Linked DNA regions of Schizosaccharomyces pombe. The gene in region 2 interacts genetically with the main gene of each other region. Each region holds a gene or a part of one and is shown on either strand. Other genes may lie near its edges.

What was found.
Region 1: mutations in vrp1 (region 2) and myo1 are lethal when combined (synthetic lethality), as found in Schizosaccharomyces pombe (one study listed by BioGRID).
Region 3: of vrp1 (region 2) and bbc1, changing one suppresses a phenotype caused by changing the other (phenotypic suppression), as found in Schizosaccharomyces pombe (one study listed by BioGRID).

What each region holds. Positions count from the first base shown.
Region 1 is NC_003423.3:1,023,463-1,029,970, reverse strand, and holds myo1 (myosin I myo1), read left to right. Parts: upstream 1-1,997; 5' UTR 1,998-2,040; coding exon 2,041-2,043; intron 2,044-2,087; coding exon 2,088-5,738; 3' UTR 5,739-6,008; downstream 6,009-6,508. Other genes in the region: coatomer beta subunit Sec26, read left to right, coding at 1-855; monooxygenase Coq6, read right to left, coding at 6,116-6,508. UniProt on the Schizosaccharomyces pombe protein: Type-I myosin implicated in the organization of the actin cytoskeleton. Required for proper actin cytoskeleton polarization.
Region 2 is NC_003423.3:3,053,242-3,059,310, forward strand, and holds vrp1 (verprolin), read left to right. Parts: upstream 1-2,023; 5' UTR 2,024-2,233; coding exon 2,234-3,032; intron 3,033-3,084; coding exon 3,085-3,215; 3' UTR 3,216-3,518; coding exon of another isoform or gene 3,519-4,819; intron 4,820-4,834; 3' UTR 4,835-4,976; coding exon of another isoform or gene 4,977-5,089; 3' UTR 5,090-5,150; coding exon of another isoform or gene 5,151-5,215; 3' UTR 5,216-5,562; downstream 5,563-6,069. Other genes in the region: SPOM_SPBC13E7.07 (uncharacterized protein), read left to right, coding at 1-91; RNA polymerase II-associated Paf1 complex protein Leo1, read right to left, coding at 364-1,462, 1,653-1,843; transcription factor TFIIIB subunit Brf1, read right to left, coding at 3,519-4,819, 4,977-5,089, 5,151-5,215; rbd1 (rhomboid protease), read left to right, coding at 5,891-6,069.
Region 3 is NC_003424.3:4,105,064-4,112,544, reverse strand, and holds bbc1 (SH3 domain-containing protein), read right to left. Parts: upstream 5,898-7,481; 5' UTR 5,719-5,897; coding exon 883-5,718; 3' UTR 501-882; downstream 1-500. Other genes in the region: RNA polymerase II CTD phosphatase Rtr1, read left to right, coding at 6,836-7,429.

The DNA.
Region 1 (6,508 bases), 2.0 Mb from region 2:
AAGGAGGCAGATTTGTTAGTTAATGGAAGTGATGCTGTTCAAGCCGATGAGCTACTGAATATTCGCCAATTTCAAAGGGTCATTGAAGAAAAGCAGGATCTTAATTTTGAGTCCGACATCATACAAGCCACCAACGATGGTATGGTAGTGGAAGATTTGGCATCTAAATTAGATCATATCGTACAATTAGCCGGTTTTACAGATCCTGTTTACTGTGAGGCATATGTGAAGATACAACAATTTGATATTATTCTAGACATATTATTGGTTAATCGAACGGATACCACGTTACAGAATCTCTCTGTTGATTTGGCTACGTTGGGAGATCTTAAGGTTGTAGAGCGTCCACCACCCATGAATTTAGGACCTCATGCCTTTAAATCTGTTCAGGCTACGGTAAAGGTATCTTCAACGGAGTCTGCAGTAATCTTTGGAAATATCGTGTATGGTGGTAAAGCATCCGACGAAGACAAAATTGTTGTTTTGAATGGCATTCCAGTCAACATTATTGATTATATAAAACCCGCATTCATTCCCGAATCTCAATTCCGTAGCATGTGGACGGAATTTGAATGGGAAAACAAGGTCGATATTTCTTCCAACGAAGACATTAGTCTGTACGATTTCTTACATAAAATAATGAAGAAAACCAATATGAACTGTCTTACTCCAGACGCGTCTCTGCGTGGTGACTGTGGTTTTTTGAGTGCTAATTTGTACGCCTGCAGTATTTTTGGGGAAGACGCACTTATGAGTCTTAGCGTTGAAAAATCCGTCTCCGGTCCTATCTCAGGACATGTTCGCATTCGTTCAAAAACTCAAGGCATTGCCCTTAGCTTGGGTGCATTTGTTTAGAGTAGAATTATATAAGGAATGTTATCCACTCTTTAAATTTCTTGATGGATTAAATTCACAATGGGAAAGCTGTTATGGATGCTGATTTAGTAGGTATATCATGTGTCTAATATTTCGCTAAATCGATATCTGATACGCTGTTTTATTACTCTTGTTGTAAATACCTTTCCTGCCGTTCTTTATTTAGCTCCTTATGATATTTCTACGATTTCGCAATTAAAAGGAGCCTGCCTTGTCATGTTCTCACTACTTGATATCCTGACATTACTAAAGTTGTGTACCTTGTATTTCTCTGTAACAGGCAAGTAGATTAGCTTTCATCTCGTGCATTTAGTTTGGTATTATATATAAACCCCGTTATTTCAATTAATTATGGCACTCACAAACGTTGTCTATAAATCACTGTTTGTATTCTTTTATAAATGATATAAACAGATGATTATGTTTAAGTTACTGCAAATCATATAGCTTCTCTCATATTGTGTTACATCCTAATATCTGTAATAAGTTAATTGTCATAGAATATACTCAAGGTCAATACGAGAACTACAGTTGTATTTGCTGGGGAATTCAACCTTTTATGTCGCGTTATAATAATCTGCGGCTGCTTTGGTTCTTGAAACGGCGATAGCCGTTATATCTAAAATACTTCAAAACTTCTCGCTTTATGAAAGGTATCTTCGACTTAAAATATTCATAATTGAAAATTCATGTTCATTTAATTCATCTTATCGACTACATGAACACACAATAATCAAATCAAGTATTAACTAATTCAAGCGCGTTATGTTTATCACTTCATCATAATTAGTCGCAAATTTCATACCTTTAGTGTGTTCGTTACCTTACCTAATGAAGTTACCCTAAAACACATTTGGATAAGTTTCGTTCGAGTATGTTACATAACAAGCCTCTTTCGGCTAGGTAATTGTTTTAATGTCAATACCAAAAATGGATGAAGCAAACGACAGAAAGCTAAAGTATATTCAATTTTCAGCTAAAGTACAATTTTAATAATTGGGGTCTGAAGTTTCGAACGGTCTTTGGCAATATTGACCTAGAAACTCATATTTCGCTCATTTTAACGATCCGTAACGCAATTATCTCAGTATTAGAAGAAACCTACACGTAAGTGCGGACTTGTCGTTAACCTATCTCTTGTTCGGCCATAAGTGAATAGATTTTATGGTAAGTAAATATGCATGCCGAATGTTAGCTAATTAATAAATTAGGCCATCCTTAAGAGAACAAACCGCGCGAAAGCTGCGACTGCAGCTGCTCCCAATAGCACTGGGAAAAGCAATGGTATTAAAAAGGCTGTTTATACCAGCACACGCAAAAAGACTGTGGGTGTTGATGATTTAACCCTACTTTCGAAAATTACAGATGAGGAAATTAACAAAAACTTGGAACTGAGATTTCGCAATGGAGAGATTTATACATATATTGGACATGTGTTGATTTCTGTAAATCCATTTCGAGACCTGGGTATTTATACGATGGATATTTTGAAATCATATCAAGGAAAAAACCGTTTGGAAACGAGCCCTCACGTTTATGCAATTGCTGAGAACGCTTACTATCAAATGAAGTCTTATCATGAGAATCAATGTATTATCATTTCTGGTGAATCGGGTGCTGGTAAGACTGAGGCTGCAAAAAGGATCATGCAATATATTACACATGTTTCAAAGTCCGTTGGCACTGAAATTGAAAGAGTTTCCGAAATTATTTTAGCTACCAATCCTTTATTGGAAAGTTTTGGTTGTGCAAAAACTCTTCGCAATAATAATTCTTCTCGTCATGGAAAGTATTTAGAAATGATTTTTAATTCCGGAGGTGTTCCTGTCGGCGCTAAAATTACGAACTACTTATTAGAAAAGAACCGAATTGTTAATCAAGTTCGCAATGAGCGTAATTTCCATATTTTCTATCAATTCACCAAGAGCGCTCCTCAGAAATATCGTGATACATATGGCATTCAAGGTCCGGAGAATTATGTTTACACTTCTGCTTGTCAATGTTTGTCGGTTGATGGGATTTCAGATGAGAAGGACTTCCAAGGAACGATGAACGCCATGAAGGTTATTGGTATCACCGAGCCGGAGCAAGATGAAATATTTAGGATGCTTTCTATCATCCTTTGGTTAGGAAATATTCAATTTCAAGAAGGCCAAGATGGTGGTAGCGTGATTTCTGACAAGAGCATCACCGAATTTTTAGGCTATTTGATCGGTGTTCCTGTTGCGGCTATTGAGCGTGCCTTGACAATTCGTATTATGCAAACTCAGCATGGTGCAAGGCGCGGATCTGTATATGAAGTCCCCTTAAATCCAACACAAGCTTTGGCTGTTCGTGATGCTTTGTCTATGGCGATTTATAACTGTCTTTTTGATTGGATTGTCGAACGTGTCAACAAAGCTTTGGTCACATCAGACAACAGCGTTTCCAATTCGATTGGTATTTTAGATATTTACGGCTTTGAAATCTTTGAAAACAACTCTTTTGAACAATTGTGCATTAACTATGTTAATGAAAAATTGCAACAAATTTTTATAGAACTTACTTTGAAAACTGAACAGGAAGAATACGTGCGTGAGCAAATTGCTTGGACTCCTATCAAATATTTCAACAATAAAGTTGTATGTGATTTGATTGAATCCAAACGACCTCCTGGTCTTTTCGCAGCAATGAACGACGCTATCGCTACCGCTCATGCTGACTCTGCTGCGGCGGATAGTGCTTTTGCTCAGCGGTTAAACTTTTTATCCTCCAATCCACATTTTGAACAGAGACAAAATCAATTTATAGTCAAACATTACGCTGGTGATGTAACCTACAGCATTACAGGAATGACCGATAAGAATAAGGATCAGTTAGCAACTGATATTCTTAACCTTATTCATTCTTCCAACAACGAGTTCATGAAATCTATTTTCCCAGTGGCTGAAGAGAGTAACTCCCGTCGTCGTCCTCCTACAGCTGGTGATCGTATCAAAACTTCTGCTAATGATTTAGTAGAGACTCTTATGAAATGTCAACCATCGTATATACGTACGATTAAACCCAATCAGACTAAGTCGCCTAACGATTACGATCAGCAGATGGTTTTACATCAAATCAAATATTTAGGTTTGCAAGAAAACATTCGTATTCGTCGTGCTGGTTTTGCTTATCGTCAAGCTTTCGATACGTTTGCTCAGCGTTTTGCAGTTCTTAGTGGTAAAACCAGTTATGCAGGAGAATACACTTGGCAGGGTGATGATAAGTCTGCTTGCGAACAGATTTTGAAAGATACCAATATTCCTTCATCTGAATACCAAATGGGTACTAGCAAAGTTTTCATTAAAAATCCGGAGACCTTATTCGCGCTCGAAGACATGCGTGATAAGTTTTGGGATACAATGGCAACCCGTATACAACGTGCTTGGCGTTCTTATGTTAGAAGAAGATCTGAAGCTGCTGCTTGTATTCAGAAGTTGTGGAATAGGAACAAAGTTAACATGGAACTTGAACGTGTTCGTAATGAGGGTACTAAACTTTTGCAAGGTAAAAAGCAACGCAGAAGATATAGTATTTTGGGATCCCGTAAGTTTTATGGAGATTATCTATCAGCTTCAAAGCCTAATGGTACTCTATGGAACACATGCGGCCTCTCTCAAAACGATCACGTAATTTTCTCAATGAGATGTGAGGTCCTTGTTCATAAGCTAGGCCGCACTTCCAAACCTTCTCCTCGTCAACTGGTTCTTACCAAAAAGAATTTATATTTGGTGATTACAAAAATTGTTGACCAAAAGCTCACACAACAGGTGGAGAAGAAGTTCGCTGTATCTTCCATCGATTCTGTTGGTCTTACAAATTTGCAAGATGATTGGGTTGCAATTCGTAATAAGTCCAGCCAAAATGGAGATATGTTTTTGCGATGCTTTTTCAAAACAGAATTTATAACTACCTTAAAGAGAATCAATCGTAATATTCAAGTTATCGTGGGTCCCACCATTCAATACTGCCGAAAGCCTGGCAAGGTACAAACTGTTAAGACGGCAAAAGACGAAACCACTAAGGATTATGACTACTACAAGAGTGGAACTATTCATGTTGGTACTGGCTTGCCTCCTACCAGTAAGAGTAAGCCTTTCCCTCGCTTAGCAACTGGTGGTAGTACAGCAGCTGCTAGAGGGCCTCGCCCAGTTGTGCAGAACAAACCTGCTGCTACAAAGCCCGTATCTATGCCGGCTGCGAAGAGCAAACCTGCTCCTATGGCTAATCCCGTAAGTACTGCTCAACAAACCCAAAATCGTCCCCCTGCTCCTGCTATGCAAGCTCGTCCTAATACAACTCAAGCTGCAGCCCCAGTTACAAGTACGACTACAACTATTAAGCAAGCAACCACTGTTTCTGCTTCTAAACCAGCTCCTTCCACGGTAACTTCTGCAGCTTCTTCTCCAAGCAATATCTCTAAACCCTCTGCTCCAGTTGCTAATAACGTCAGCAAGCCTAGTGCTGTTCCTCCTCCTCCTCCTCCTCCTCCCGCTGAAGTCGAAAAGAAAGACTTGTACTTGGCCTTATATGACTTTGCGGGACGCAGTCCAAATGAAATGACTATCAAGAAAGACGAAATTATAGAAATTGTTCAAAAGGAGCCAAGCGGGTGGTGGCTTGCTTTAAAGAATGGTGCTGAAGGATGGGTTCCCGCAACCTATGTGACAGAATACAAAGGTTCTACACCTCAAACCACCGCTTCTTCGACTAATGTTGCAGCTCAAGCGAATAATAATGCTAGTCCAGCTGAAGTCAACAACTTAGCTGGTTCACTTGCTGATGCCTTGCGCATGCGAGCATCAGCTGTGCGTGGTAGTGATGAAGAAGAAGATTGGTGAGCTTTCATTATGATGTATATATAATACGGCCAGTACATTGCTTGATTCTTAATTTGCAATAATGAATGGCTTGTGACAACTATAGTCTCTCCTATCGCATGTTTTTTAGCTATCAATGAAAGCTTCTAGTATTTGCTTCTTGCATGTTTTATTGTGATAGATTGAGAATACTCTTCGTCGACGACTTTGATTAAGCAAAGCTAAATAGTAATTTAATTGTGAAATATAGTTGATACATTGCATAGCGTATACTTATAAATGGGACAAAAGTGATAGCTTCTGTAATAATATTAAAATCATTATCTTGTTTATTGTTTGAATAAATTAGTCAGCTCCAGTGGTAAAACGTAAATATAGTATAGTAGACTTCGACAATACTAAATTCCATTAGCTACCGTAGAAAGAATGAAGTTTTTCAAGCTAGCACTGCGATCAAATAATGAAAGTCCAAGGGTTCGTACAGAAGTGACCACCGGATTTTCCATTGCGTACAGCTTGTGGAACTTATCAACGACTCCTAGATAAACATGGTTTTTGAAGTAACGGTCACGGAAATACGGTTGGAGTGAAAAAACACTACCAATATCCTGACCGTGCTTGATAGCAAAAGAGAGTGCTGATATTAAAGATTCAACATCCTGAATTCCAGTATTTAATCCCTGTCCAGCTAATGGATGAGTGTTATGAGCAGCGTCCCCGCAAAGGGCAATTCCTTCTTTTACATATTCATCAACATGGGCAAGTCTCAACGGAAATGCCGCCCTAGAACC
Region 2 (6,069 bases):
GCTAAACAATTCTAGCCGTTCTGCTTACTCTTATATTAACAACGGTCAAGCAGGCTCTTCCAAAGGTAACCGATATGATAGTTTGTGGTAGGAACTCATATCACGCTTTAATGATCACAGAAATACATCTCAACACCTAATCCGCCATATTTGCTTTAAAAAAAGTAGTTTTATTTTATATAGTTGCTCACTACAATTCTCGCTATTGTACATGTGAATCCCATTGCGTTAAAAATTAGACAAGATATAAGAATAATGTACAATTAATAAACATCTTTTAAATCAACGAAATAACACAGAGACCATACTTCGCAAACAAACAAATTGGCTATTTACAAAAATTGAATTACAAGCTGTTTGGATTTATTCGCTATCGCTCTCAACAATCCGACGCTTCACTCTTCTTTGTACAGAACCATCACCGACAGAAGTCTCTGTAACGGTCTCGGATCTGTCAGTTTCCACTGCGCTAGGAATTACCTCATCGTCTTCATATTTATTAATAGTAGCTCGTGCTACACTTGCTTCTTTATCCGCATCAAATCCTTTTATATCGGAGCCAGCTCCAACTTCTTCTTCATCCTCTTCATCTTCTTCTTGTTCCTCTTCTTGTTCCTCTTCCTCTTCCTCTTCCGCTATAAAGTCACCAAGGTCATCTTCTTCATTTTCTTCCAGATCCTTATTATAACCACGATATTGACCAGCTCCTTCTTGTTTAATTCGTTTTAAACGATCCATACGGTCACTGTCAATGATTTCATTTTGTTCGCTATAAGTAGAACGGGGACCGTAGAAGGAAGAGTAATCCTCTTCTTCTTCTCCTGTTCCATTCTGATAATTGTTCAATTGCTTTCTTTTCTCTAAACGTCGCCGAGCTCGACTTCGTTCCTCCTCATATTTTTCAGCCTGACGCTTTAGTAGTTCTGGATCCTTTTCAATAATAATTTCTTGTACGCTTCGACTAGGAACCTGGACTGTGGTGAGACGCATAGATGGCAATTTTGATCTTGTAGCAGTGTTAATGGCTGAAGGGAGGAATGTAAAACTGCTTTTGAAGGATGTTTGAACTCTCAGTAAATGTTGTGCTTCATGTGAGGCAGTAACAAAAGTTGGTTGAGATATTAATTTATTTTGGGTATCATATATGTCGTTACCAATGCGAAGTGAATATGAACCATCAGACCATTGTACAATTTGCGCATTCGATTGATAGCTTCCAGACGGCCCCAATCGCCAGCGGACAGTATTATCAACTTTATGTTTTATTCTTTGACCCCAATGCGCGTCGTGTTCTAATAAAGCTGCATCTGCTTCGGCTTCCGCGGCGTACTGCTCTGGATCGTACGGAGTCTGTTCCACAGAAAGGAAATTTGGAATATGAGCATGAAACACGTCATTACTAGCAGAAGCTGGTGATTTGAAATTGGGAACAGCGACTTCAAGGACTTTCTTTACAGGAACACTAACATTTGTTAGGATGCATAGATTTAAATAGCTTGCTATAGTAAAAGACGCTAATTTTTGATTTTTTACTAAAAAGCCTCATGAAGCGATTTATTACTTTCACCACTGTGGCAGCTGTATAATAAATACACATTTAGAACTACCATCGGCTAGAATCAATTCGCTTCATCTATAAGACTGCAACTTACTCTGCTTCAGGGGCTTCAGTAGCCTCTTCTGTATTCGAAAACAAGCCGTCATCGCTAACGGCTGTTTCACTATCGTTTTCTATATGGCCATTTATAAGTTCATCTTGCTGCGAAGTATGATTGTCTTCATTCTCACTAAACAAATCATCTTCCTCTTGACCGTTGCGGATGTCTTCTTTAGAATCCGACATTAAATCTATTTAAATTCCTCAAAAATTCACCAGTCTAAACTTTCCAGATTGGTTCCGGTCAGAATACGTATGGTGTTGTACTAAGATGCATTAAATTGAATAATCACTAGAAGGTACAATCCTGTTACTTGTAGTGCATGGTGGTGGTAGAAAGCTTAGGGTAGCTCATAGTTAAAACCCATACCCGTGTTTCCACTTTATATTTTGAGTTATATTTATTATTGTCAAAGTATATAGCGAATATTTTTTGTAAAATCATTTAAAATCTGATAATTTAACTTTTACTTTTATTGTATTGTTAGGTGTACAGGCGAATTATCTACTATTTTGATTACAGACCTCAAGCTTGTTAAGATTTATTTTTGATTTTTAATTCTTCCTTCTTATAAAATGGCACCTGCACCACCGCCTCCTCCTCCAGCACCAGCGCCTGCTGCTGCTGCTCCGGCCCCCCCTCTAATGACCGGAGATCGATCAGCTCTGCTCAATTCTATCCAGAAAGGAAAGAAACTAAAAAAAGCTACAACGAACGACCGATCGGCTCCCGTTGTCGGAGGAGGTGTCGTAGGCGAACGTAAATCTAACACTCCAAAAAGCTTTGCTGCTCCTCCTGTACCCACAGGCGCACCCTCTTTACCGACTTCTTCAAATAATACTCAGCAAGCAGAAGAGAGACCTTCCATGCCTGCATTAGGAGGTTTATTTGCTGGCGGCATGCCTAAGCTTCGTCATATTGGAAAGTCAAGTGCTTCAGCCGCACCACCTTCCGCTCCTGCTCCTCCTACTCCACAATCTGAGTTGCGTCCGCCAACAAGTGCGCCCCCTCGACCTTCAATTCCTCCACCATCTCCTGCATCTGCTCCACCTATTCCTTCAAAGGCACCTCCTATTCCATCGTCTCTACCTCCACCTGCACAACCTGCTGCACCGGTGAAATCTCCTCCTTCAGCTCCTTCATTGCCCTCAGCGGTACCTCCGATGCCACCTAAAGTTCCTCCACCTCCTCTATCTCAAGCTCCTGTTGCTAATACATCATCACGCCCTTCTTCTTTTGCTCCACCAGCAGGACATGCACCTAACGTTACATCAGAATCTCCTAAATTTCCTAATAGAGGTCCATCCATTCCTTCAGCTTCTGTTCCTCCAGTTCCTCCATCTTCTTACGTCTTGCAGCAGCGACCTAATCGTGGTAAGTTTGCGATCATTAAAAGCATTATTTTTTTATTAACACAAAACTCTAGTTGATGATCATGGAAGATTCCACTTTAAGGATGATAGTTACTTACCAATTCCTCATCCCTTTCTTGGAGTCCCTAAAGTTTATCGGGGTGGTAGTGGCACTACGGTCCCTTTGAATCTCTCTTCATTTTAACAAATCTTTTTAAAGCTGTGTACGATTAATCTACTACCAGTGTTTAGTTGTTAAACACAGAATTTTCTTTCGTTAGATGGATACTAATAATTACTCAGTGATAGAAAAAAACTAAAAATTCATGCGGCCTTTTTTATGAATATTAAAATTATTTATAAAGATTCATTAATCCTTATAAATAAATCGTTAAATAAACTCTAAAATTAATAAATTAATGTATAAAAAAGGATTATCGTACAACAAAAAAACGAATGTTCTTAAATAGCCCCAAAAAACTCCCAATTGCCCAAATTTAGTAAAAAGTTACGACTGCTCTTCGTCAAATAACATATCCAAAGCTTCATAGTTGATTTTTTTTGAAAAAGCTCTTTGTTGCATCATTTCTTTTGCACTTTCAGCAGCAGTATCGGCTATTCCATCACTAGTGCTATCTCTAGGACGATATCGTCTTCTTTTACGAGGTTGTCGGACAATTCCTTTTTTTAAATCTTCTTGGAGTTTTAAATTTTTCGCCTCTTCCTCAGCTAAATAATCTTTATTCAACTCCATCCAAACTTGAGTTTTAGTCAATATTTCATCCTTGTCAAGCAAAATATCTTCAATTTCATCATCATCAACGTCTTCTAAGGTAACTTCTTCCTCCGAAAATTTAACGTTAACTTGTAGAGAAATCTTTCTAAGTTCATCGCCCTTAAGGGTTTCAGTAACCTCTTTCCTAATTTCTCTTTCATCGGCCTTCAAATGCACAGGAGTTTCTTGAGATTCAACTTTTACTGTTTGCGAAAGCTCTTCAGACTTAACTTCGTTGCCATCAAAATCCGGGGTCCTTTTAATAGGGGACATGTATTCTTGTGTGTGATCAATGTTTGAAACTTTTTGAGCACCGTATTGTTGAAACTTTTGATTTTTAGTAAAGCTAGGAGGATCGCTCTGTCCTTCCAGCCAAATGTTTCGAAAGTCGGCGATTGAAAGATCACCGCTCTCAGTTAATTTAAACTCATCAAGGCGTTTTTGAATAGTGATATCCGCAACTTTCACGACATGAACCACTTCTCGTACGCTTCGTCGAAAATTATTCATTCTTGCTGCAATGAGTAAGCATGCACCACAAATTCCAGCTGGCCGACGACCAATTTGCATCCAGTCTCTATTCATTCGCGCTACCAATCTGATAGCGTCGTTTGCGACACGATGTGTTTCCGGTCCAAATTCGAGTAAAGAAGCAAATCTACTGATATATAAAGACGGATCTAAAAGAGGTAAATTAGGCCTTAAAACGCGGCACAACTTGAGAAAAGTAGACCCAAGCTTAAAAACGTTAATTTGCAAAATATCAGAAAAATCGATTAACATATGAGACGTCTTAGATATCCGGCAAACAATATACAAACAGGATGCAACAACGTATTGCGATCTCCTTCCTTTTATAAAGTTGTTGTTAATTGCCAGTGTAAAGTAGCGAACTGCTGCTTCGATATGGCGTTCGTTAAGTTTTAAAGCAATTGCCAATGCCGAAATTCGGCGACGTCCGTTTGCAATGGTAAGTTCTCTGGATTCTACGGATCCTTGATTTCTGTAAGGGCCACCAAAAGTCCGAGCATGAGCTAAAGCTGTGTTAGATATAAGTCGATGAAAAATATGGACGAAGAGGTGTCTATTAGTAAAAGATCAAACCAAAATTTAACACAGACTGAACAAAAAAAGGTGACTGCATCAGAACTGTAAAACACCGCATTGCTGGATGATTGCCTTCTAACTTACTTTGATCATTACTCACAAGAGAACCCTGAACAACAGCTGCACCAGTTGAAGCCTCTCCGAATGTCACTTCCGAAACAATTGCATCTTGCTCGACGACAACACCGCATTGTGTACTATTCAATGGTTAGCAGTCAATTGCCACGTTAAAATTATATAATAAAAAAAACAACTTACCAATATGTATTTCCAGAAGCGGTATCAGATTCAAAAGTAGTTGAACCGCAATTTGGACATCCCATGGCGAATAACTGAAAACACTTGGGCGTTAGCTGTTTGGGAAATGGTATTTATCAAAGATTAAGTTTAACCCACATGGAGTACTTAAGTGGGGGGGGGGGAAAGAAATATCACTGCAAATATGCATACTAGCATATATTTTAAAGGTCTACAGAGAATTTAATCGGGTTTAATTGTTTGTTATTTTATTTTGTTTTTTTGTTCTTTTTTAATGGTTTGGAAATGAAGAGCGTTAAAATAAAATTAAAAATAGTAAATTGAACTTTGCTTCTGTATATGGTATTTGGACTTTTTAGTTTAATATATATTATAACAATTTTTACTAGTAAATTCTCTAGTTTATCTCGAGCATTGCAAGTTTAGCAAATGATTAATGAATCGTGACTATATGGTTCATTAAATCTTTTTATGTTAATTAACTTGTTAAAAACATTGTTTGGCATATATATTTATATAAGATTATGCAAGTAACGTAATTAGGAGAATAAAAAGTAAGACAGAATATATAAAGAAATAACTTAAATTGCTTGAAGTTAAATAAATATTGGTAAAGATCTTAAGGTACTGTGAGAAGCGTAAGCGGATTCTTATTTCTCTATCTTAGGCAACACTAGCGTTTCTATGCATACAACCTCATAGTCCTTACTCACCTTTTCTCACATATATTTAATACGCAGATGAATCGTTTGAATTTTCAAAGTTTACTCTGGAAATTTGGACAAAAAAGGTTTTATTACAGACCATGGATCAGAATTGAAAATATTAAACCAACACCATTATGGAAACCGATTACATTTGCTGTTGGTGTTGGTTCTGCCACCTTTTATACGGCCAATTATCTCGATAAAAGAAGAAA
Region 3 (7,481 bases), on a different chromosome or scaffold from region 2:
TACCACTAGCAATAATCTTAACGACATACGATTCTCCTTTAAAAAATCTTTCAATCTATTTATTCTTACTTCTCTTTGTGTGGCATCAAATTCTTGTACCAATAATGGGTCTATTGCTTCAAATGACTCTTACACTTTCCATTTGTTTCCCTATTTACTAGTTTACCCTAAACTGCGTTTTGCACTTGACGGTTGTTCATTTTGGTGAACAGTCATAACACTTGAACTGAATGTGTTTTCTAAGAAGTTTGTTTGGTTTGCAATGTTACATCCTTGTTCTCTGGGTGTTAGTGAAAGTCACTCTCGTTAATCTTGACTAGGTATATATTTCAGTTAACCGTTATTTTCGGTTTCACCTCGAAATAAATGTTTTTTGTTGATTATATAAGCGCAAGCGTTTGAAAAAAGAGTTAGAATTTTGTAAAGGATTTTTTTTTTCCGAAATTGTCTTTAAGTACAGTTCAATAACTTACAAAATCTTATCCTTTTACCATACATTGTTAATTGTGCATTTCAACTGTTTAATTAGATATAACTGATTATTAGCATATACTATAAAAATGACTGTAGATGTGTATATATATTTCAAAAGTTGAATCACATAGCCCAATCTTTGGTATATATGTGAATATAATTCAGCAAACAACTTCCACGAGATATAAGTCTTCTAAAAACATAGGGCGTGTCGTCAAAAAATGATATAAATAATCCCAATCGTCAAAGATATATCAGTGAAAGAATATACTGACAGACGATCATTAAGGACTATTCAAATCTGCTTCGCAATTGAACAATTTAAAAAAATGAGTGCTGCTCTTTAGGAAGTTTGAGTTATTTGTGATAAAATGATAAGAACTTAAAACCATAGTAAAATAATTACCATTAATTCCAACCAAGCCAAGATCGACGCATTACACGCCACACAGTAACTTCTCCACTCTTTAAATCACCGAATTTGTAGCTTGCAACTGAAACCTTCTTGGACTCTCTGCCTTGTTCCAACACCCTAATCTTCAGTTTCGAAACATCCCACTCTGATATGATACCATAATGCATGGGCTTACCAACTTCAAGAGAGTATTTTGAACGAAGAGTACCTTTTTGTCCACTAAATTTAGCCTTATCAAATGTAACTATATCACCTGGGCGAATCTCACCAATTTGTTGCACAGTAACATTTCCAACATTCTTGTAAATCACACCTCCAAAAGTCTGTTTGTTTATAGGTTCGAGATTATGCGCCAGTATCGACATAACGGAATTAACAAAAGTGAATGCAGAACCATCACCAACCATGCTACCTTGGTAAGCTCGGGCTTTTTTCAAAATTGTAGAGCCATAACAAGCATATTCCTCATCTAATCTAGCTTTTGAAGGCTGTGCTGGTGGAGCTAGTTGAAGTTGAGATAATTGTGTAATATTTTGGTTATGTGGGTTGAATGTAGCTGTCAAGACTGTTTGGCTGTAGTCAGGGAACAGTATGTGTACAGACTTGTATTTTTTATCTTGCCCTGTAATTCCTTCTTTTATCATATATAGAACAGAGTCATTCATCTGCACTACGGATTTAGGAACAGCAGTAGAATTCAGCCACCATTTCTCAGAAGCGCAAGGCTCAACCGGCTTTGCAGAAAAGCTTTCGTTAAAAGGTCCAGTAGTAGAGACAATAGAAGGTTTCTTACTAGCTCTACTCGAAGAGCGCGAAAGATGTCGATGAAGAGATTTACGACTGTCTTGATGCGCTAATGACGTACGAGTAGAAGATGAATCAGCATGTCCTTCATTGTGATGATGATGGTGTTCTCCAGACTTTGAAGACTTACGACTGCTTGTCGATGTTTCATGCCTTTCAGCTTTAGATTTCGACCTTGAAACTGAAGTACGTGCTGGAGCAGCAGAAGCCATAGAAGAAGAAGTTGGAGAAGGTGAGGCATTCGAGTGTGGCGACGGAACCGAAGATCTTGGTGTCGAAACTGAAGGGGCTTCAGAAGAAGGTGCAGGTACTGGAGGAGCCTTTGCAGTAGGAACTGGTACTGGTGGAAGCCCAGCGGAAGGTGTCGGCACCGGTGGAGCTGTAGATGGTGGGGGGACTGGAGGAACACCCACAGAAGGCTTTGGTACCGGTGGAGCTTCACTTGGTGGAGGCACCGGTGGGACACCCGCAGCAGGCTTTGGTACTGGTGGAATTCCAGAAGAAGGTGCTGGCACTGGTGGAGCTGCAACTGAAGGCTTTGGAACTGGTGGAGCTCCTGAAGGCGCTGGCACTGGTGGAGCTGCAACTGAAGGCTTTGGAACTGGTGGAGCTCCCGAAGGTACTGGCACTGGTGGAGCTGCAACTGAAGGCTTTGGAACTGGTGGAGCTCCTGAAGGCGCTGGCACCGGTGGAACTGCAACTGAAGGCTTTGGTACCGGTGGGGCTGCGACCGAAGGCTTTGGCACTGGTGGAATTCCAGAAGGTGCTGGCACCGGTGGAGCTCCAGACGGAGCTGGAATTGATGGAATTTCAGATGAAGGTGCTGGTACTGGTGGTGGTGCTGATGGAGCTCCAGAAGAAGATTTCGGTACTGGTGGAGTACTAGTGGGTATGGGTACAGGAGGGGCAGTAGAAGGTACTGGGATTGGTGGAGCATCAGCTGAAGGCAATGGCACCGGAGGTGCTTTAGACGAAAGTTTAGGAACTGGAGGTACCCTGGCTAGCGGAGCAGCAGGTGAAGTTGATACTGGTTTCGACAAAGGCGCCGAGGGTGGATGATCCTTTGGAGGTTCAGAAGTCGGCGAAGATAGTATATTGCTTACTGGTAAAGGTGGAGGAATAGAGGGAGGAGCAGCAGGCCTTGGTCCAGAAGCTTTGCGTCCATCGTTTGATGGACGTGTCAACTTGGTGGGTAATCTCATATTTGAGCCTAATTGAGTAATTTCTTGAGTTAACCCTGTACTAGATTGATGTGTTGCTGAGGCATCAGCAACAGGAGAAGCTTTGCTTTCGGTAACATCTTGCTTCAAAGGTGGAGTAGCAACATTTGATATGGTAGGATGACCTTGAAAAGTAGCAGTACTAGGAGTTGGAGCATGTATTACCGTAGCATTAAAACTTTCTTCCTCATAAGAAGGTTGAGGTTCGGGAGCAGGAGATTCAAGATAGCTATGAGGTTCGTAAAAATCCACATTTAAACTATTAAAATCCGCTGGAGGAGGAGATGGTAAAGGATGACCGATAGAAGAGCTAGGCGAGGCCATTTCGTCGGGTAAAGCGGGGCGACCACCAGAAGTTACAATAGAAACAGGAACAACATTTCGAAGTTGGGAACCAGTTGAAGGTCTGGACTGGTGACCACGAACACGATTTGACTTTTTTGGGAACATAAATTCATTATCTCCAAATTCGCCAGAGGGCGTCTTTGGCAAAGGAGGTGGGCTAAATATACGTGGAACTGCTGGTAAATCATCTAAATCATCATGTGCAAGACTGGCTAAAGTGTCGACTTTACCAAACCGTAAGCCAGGCGGAGGAAGAGCACGCGCACTGGTGGAAGGGTCAACTTCATTCTGCTTATCCTCGTCAATACTGTCCTCAGTGACCTCAGAAATGCGACTGGGAAGTTTGCGCTCTATGGGTTCAAACGACTTGGAGGTAAAATCGGGCGAATGCCAGGTGCGAGGAGGCGTAATTGGTGAGTTAGCAGCCGATTCTACATCAGCTGTAGCACCGGCACCAGCTTCTTTCGGGGGATCAATTCCATCAATTACTTTACGAACAGCACGAGCAGGATCCAGCAAAGAAGTTGGGGAAGGAGTTACCACTGAAGAGCTATCTTGTGGAGCCATGAGACGAGTGACTTGTGGAGCAGAAGGCTTTTGGGGTACCGCTTCGTGTGCTTCATTAGAGGCAAGTGTTTCCTTATCAAAGTTAGTAATAATTGGAGGAGGAGAAAGCACTTTTTGCTTCTCCGGAGAAGGAGTTTTATGAACTTGCTGTTCGGAAGTTTCCTGAGTTTCTGGGATTACTGGTCCCTTAGTCTCTTCCTCATTATTGGGACCCTCAGCAACAATAGCTTTATCTGCATCGTTGGAAGGCTCAGTGACCTTTATTGGTTGGTCGGCAGACATAAGGCCTGGTAAAGGCATTATATTCCGGGGGGTATCAGGAGTATCACGGTATTCTGCTGGTTGGTTTTGAGAAGGTTCGGAAGGAAGTGGACGCTCCTCCTCCTTCGGTGACGGAGCCTGCTGAGCATTCGATTGTTCAGTAGGTTGAGTAGAAGTGGAAGAAGAGTCTTTTGGTGGAGAAGAGTCATTAGTGGTGCTCTTTGCTTCCTCGGAGGATTTGGCAGGAGTTCTCCTCAAAGTGTTTTTCCGTCCAATAGGTGCAGCTAGACCAGGCAATCCAAAAACATGCATACCAATACCTCCACTCATTTTTGCCATTCGTTCGCGTAGGGCAATTCGTTTAGCTTCTTCGGGATCAATTTGTTCTTCCTCCTGCTCTTGTTCTTGTTCTTCCTCTACATCTTTATTCTCATCATCCTTTTCCGATGGTTCATCCTGGTCTTCAGGTTCAGATTCGGGTTCGTGAGTGCTATAGGGACTGTGCATCTCATCTGACTCAGCATCGTCATATTCATCTTCCTCCTGCTCACTGATTTCGCCCTGTGATTTACCGGGCTTTTGAGGATCCAAGTTAAGGCGCTGAGAAAAGGCTCGATTCAAATCAGTAAGGGGTTTAGCGGGCTTTGAGCTTGAAGCTGGCTCATCGGAATTCGCAGTATTGGAAACAACAAAAGGATCGTCATCCTTTGCAACTCGCTGGCTCTTTGATAATTCTTCTGCCTGTGAGTCCGCAGACGGAGATTGATGGGAGGACTCAGTAGCCATGGTGGAAGAAGCTGCGGGATGAGTGCGTTCCAAAACGGTTATTGCGGATGCAGATGCGTTATCAAGATACCTTAAAGAGTGTTGGGTAGTTGCGATGTTTGGTAAATCAGTTGGGCACTGTGAATGAGTACAATCGACAAGAAAAACTGAATTTGGGTTAGAGGGGATGACGGTAGACGTGTTGGTGGAAGTAGTAATGTGGGTAGTGGTGGTGTTGGTTACAGCAGCACCGGTAGCAGCATCCTCACCACCAGTAATAGTGTGAGTAGCGGTAAGTGGTAGCGAGTCGTTCTCAGTGGAGCAAGATGGCGTCTCTTCAGATATGGTATATGGAGCTGAGAATGTATGCAATTTTTCCACATTTTTTAAAGAATGTGGACGCGAGTTGCTGTCGTTACCGAATGGCGCACTCAATGTATCCACATCAACTATCTTCGTAAGTGCTTCACTTGTACTGTCAATAAAGTCATTAGCTGAAAGATATGATTCTGTATCGGCACCAAGATGCTCTGTATTGTTGGAAATCGACTTGATGCTACGTGTAATAGAAGGAGCATAACCTAAGGAAGAGTTGCGAGAATGAACAGCACTAGTTGGCGTAGGTTGATGAAGAGCCATTTCGCTAGCACGTTCTACAAACACAGCATCCTCTGCTGGCTCGGTAAAGTCCTTTGGAAAGGAGCCAATTTTCCTGTTACCGTCCGAGTCCACATATGTTCCGGTATACCAGTCGCCGTCCAGATTACTGACGACGTCGATAACTTGGCCTGGATCAAATTCCAAGTCATCGGAGAAGCTGCTTCTATAAGGATAGAGTGCAACCACTCTTGTGGGAAACGAGCTCATCGTGGAGCCTGCGATCCGCTAATACTTTTTTTAAGTACAAAGAGAGATCAGATAAACAATGAACCAGTATAAAAAGAATGGTACCATTCAATATACAATACACTGATTCTTTTTTCCTAAAACACAGATATACAAAAAGCCAAAAAAAGAGAAAACAAGATACCAAAGATGAAGGCTCCGCCGATTTATTTTACCACTAAAAATATATACAAATGATAGCGAAGCTGAACGTCATCGTTAATCTCTTCTATTAGGATATCTAAGCCAGTACACTGTCATTTTGGTTCCTAAAGGGCACGCGATTTGTGCAGACAAAGAAGTTTGGTCAATCTTAACAGCAATAAACACCCAAATGATAATATCGCACGTGAAGAAGCGACTGACTACATGTGAGACGATTTTCAATGAATGAACATTGTGGGGAAAGGATCTGGGGAATTCCCTTCCAATCGTAACATCTTGTTGACAGTGATTCGTTCGACTAGCCAAAGGTAGCGTAATGCACTGTAAGATTATTGGGTATTATTTTGCTTATCAATGTTGATTGGTTTTTGTTATTTAACGTTATAATAATATTTACGCAATTGGATCTGGTTTCCTATTTTACATAAGGATACACTAGCAATCCTAAAACGAAGCCACAGCATCGTTGGTTTGCTATATTTACGATTACTGTGTGGGTGTGGGGTATGGTATGGATATGGATATGAATCATTAAGATTAAGGACCAGTTATTTACTAGTGGAAGATATGAATAGGGTGGATGTAAATTTATCATTATTATTTTTAACGGTAAAATGATTTTCTTAAAGAGACCTACAAAACTTTCTTTACATGATTGGTGCAACGCATGCTTTTCTTTATTTTTTTTCCTTTGTCCACACTCAACTGAGAGGGTAATTTCTATCAAAATTTTTAGTACCAAGGCCAACGCACTGTCTTAGTTCGCTGTAAATGAATTGCGTAACTCAAGAACTCTTTAACAAAAATTGCACGGCGCTAAAGTATTTTTACGATGCTCATTCCTCCTTCCAATGCTTGACTGACTCATATCTGCCTAATAGCGATTTTTAAGACCTTCTGTTTTCCAGCTGACTCCAATATATCCAATTCAGATATGAACAAAAAATCAATTCTCAAAAAGCCGAAAAATGCTCAAAGCACTCAAGAAAAGCAATTGATCACGTGGTCGAAGAGTCTTATAGATGAAGCACGCAGTCGACTTCAGTATGATTTTTTTGCCCTCGAATGGATTGAAAAGCTGGTTGATCCGGTTTCCCTAGAAACTTTAGAGGAAGCTCGTAAATACCTTCGAAAAAGTGATTACGATCAAGTGGTGAAGGAGCGTAAACTCGTCAATCTGTGCGGTTATCCCGTTTGTCCTTATGAACCTAAGCAGCAAACTAGGTATAAATTAGAAGATTCAGGAATGAAGGTCTACGGTGGACTCAACTATTATTGCTCGAAGGATTGCTTTCTAAAAAGTTGTCAATATATGGTTGAGTTGAGCGACGAACCATTATGGATACGTGAAGATGCTCGCGAAGCTATGAAACAACATCTCGATCCTCGTCAAGATGAAGCATTTCGTAAAGAGTTGGAAAACAAAAAAATTGAAGATGTACGCTTACTCCTGCAAGCGTTGCCTGTGGGTTATAAGGCAAAAGTTGGTGAAATCGTTGAACATCCTTTGGCTAATGAACAATCATAAAGCAAATGGAAGTTTATCAAATTTTTTCTTTTCACCCCAGAATATGTATAAT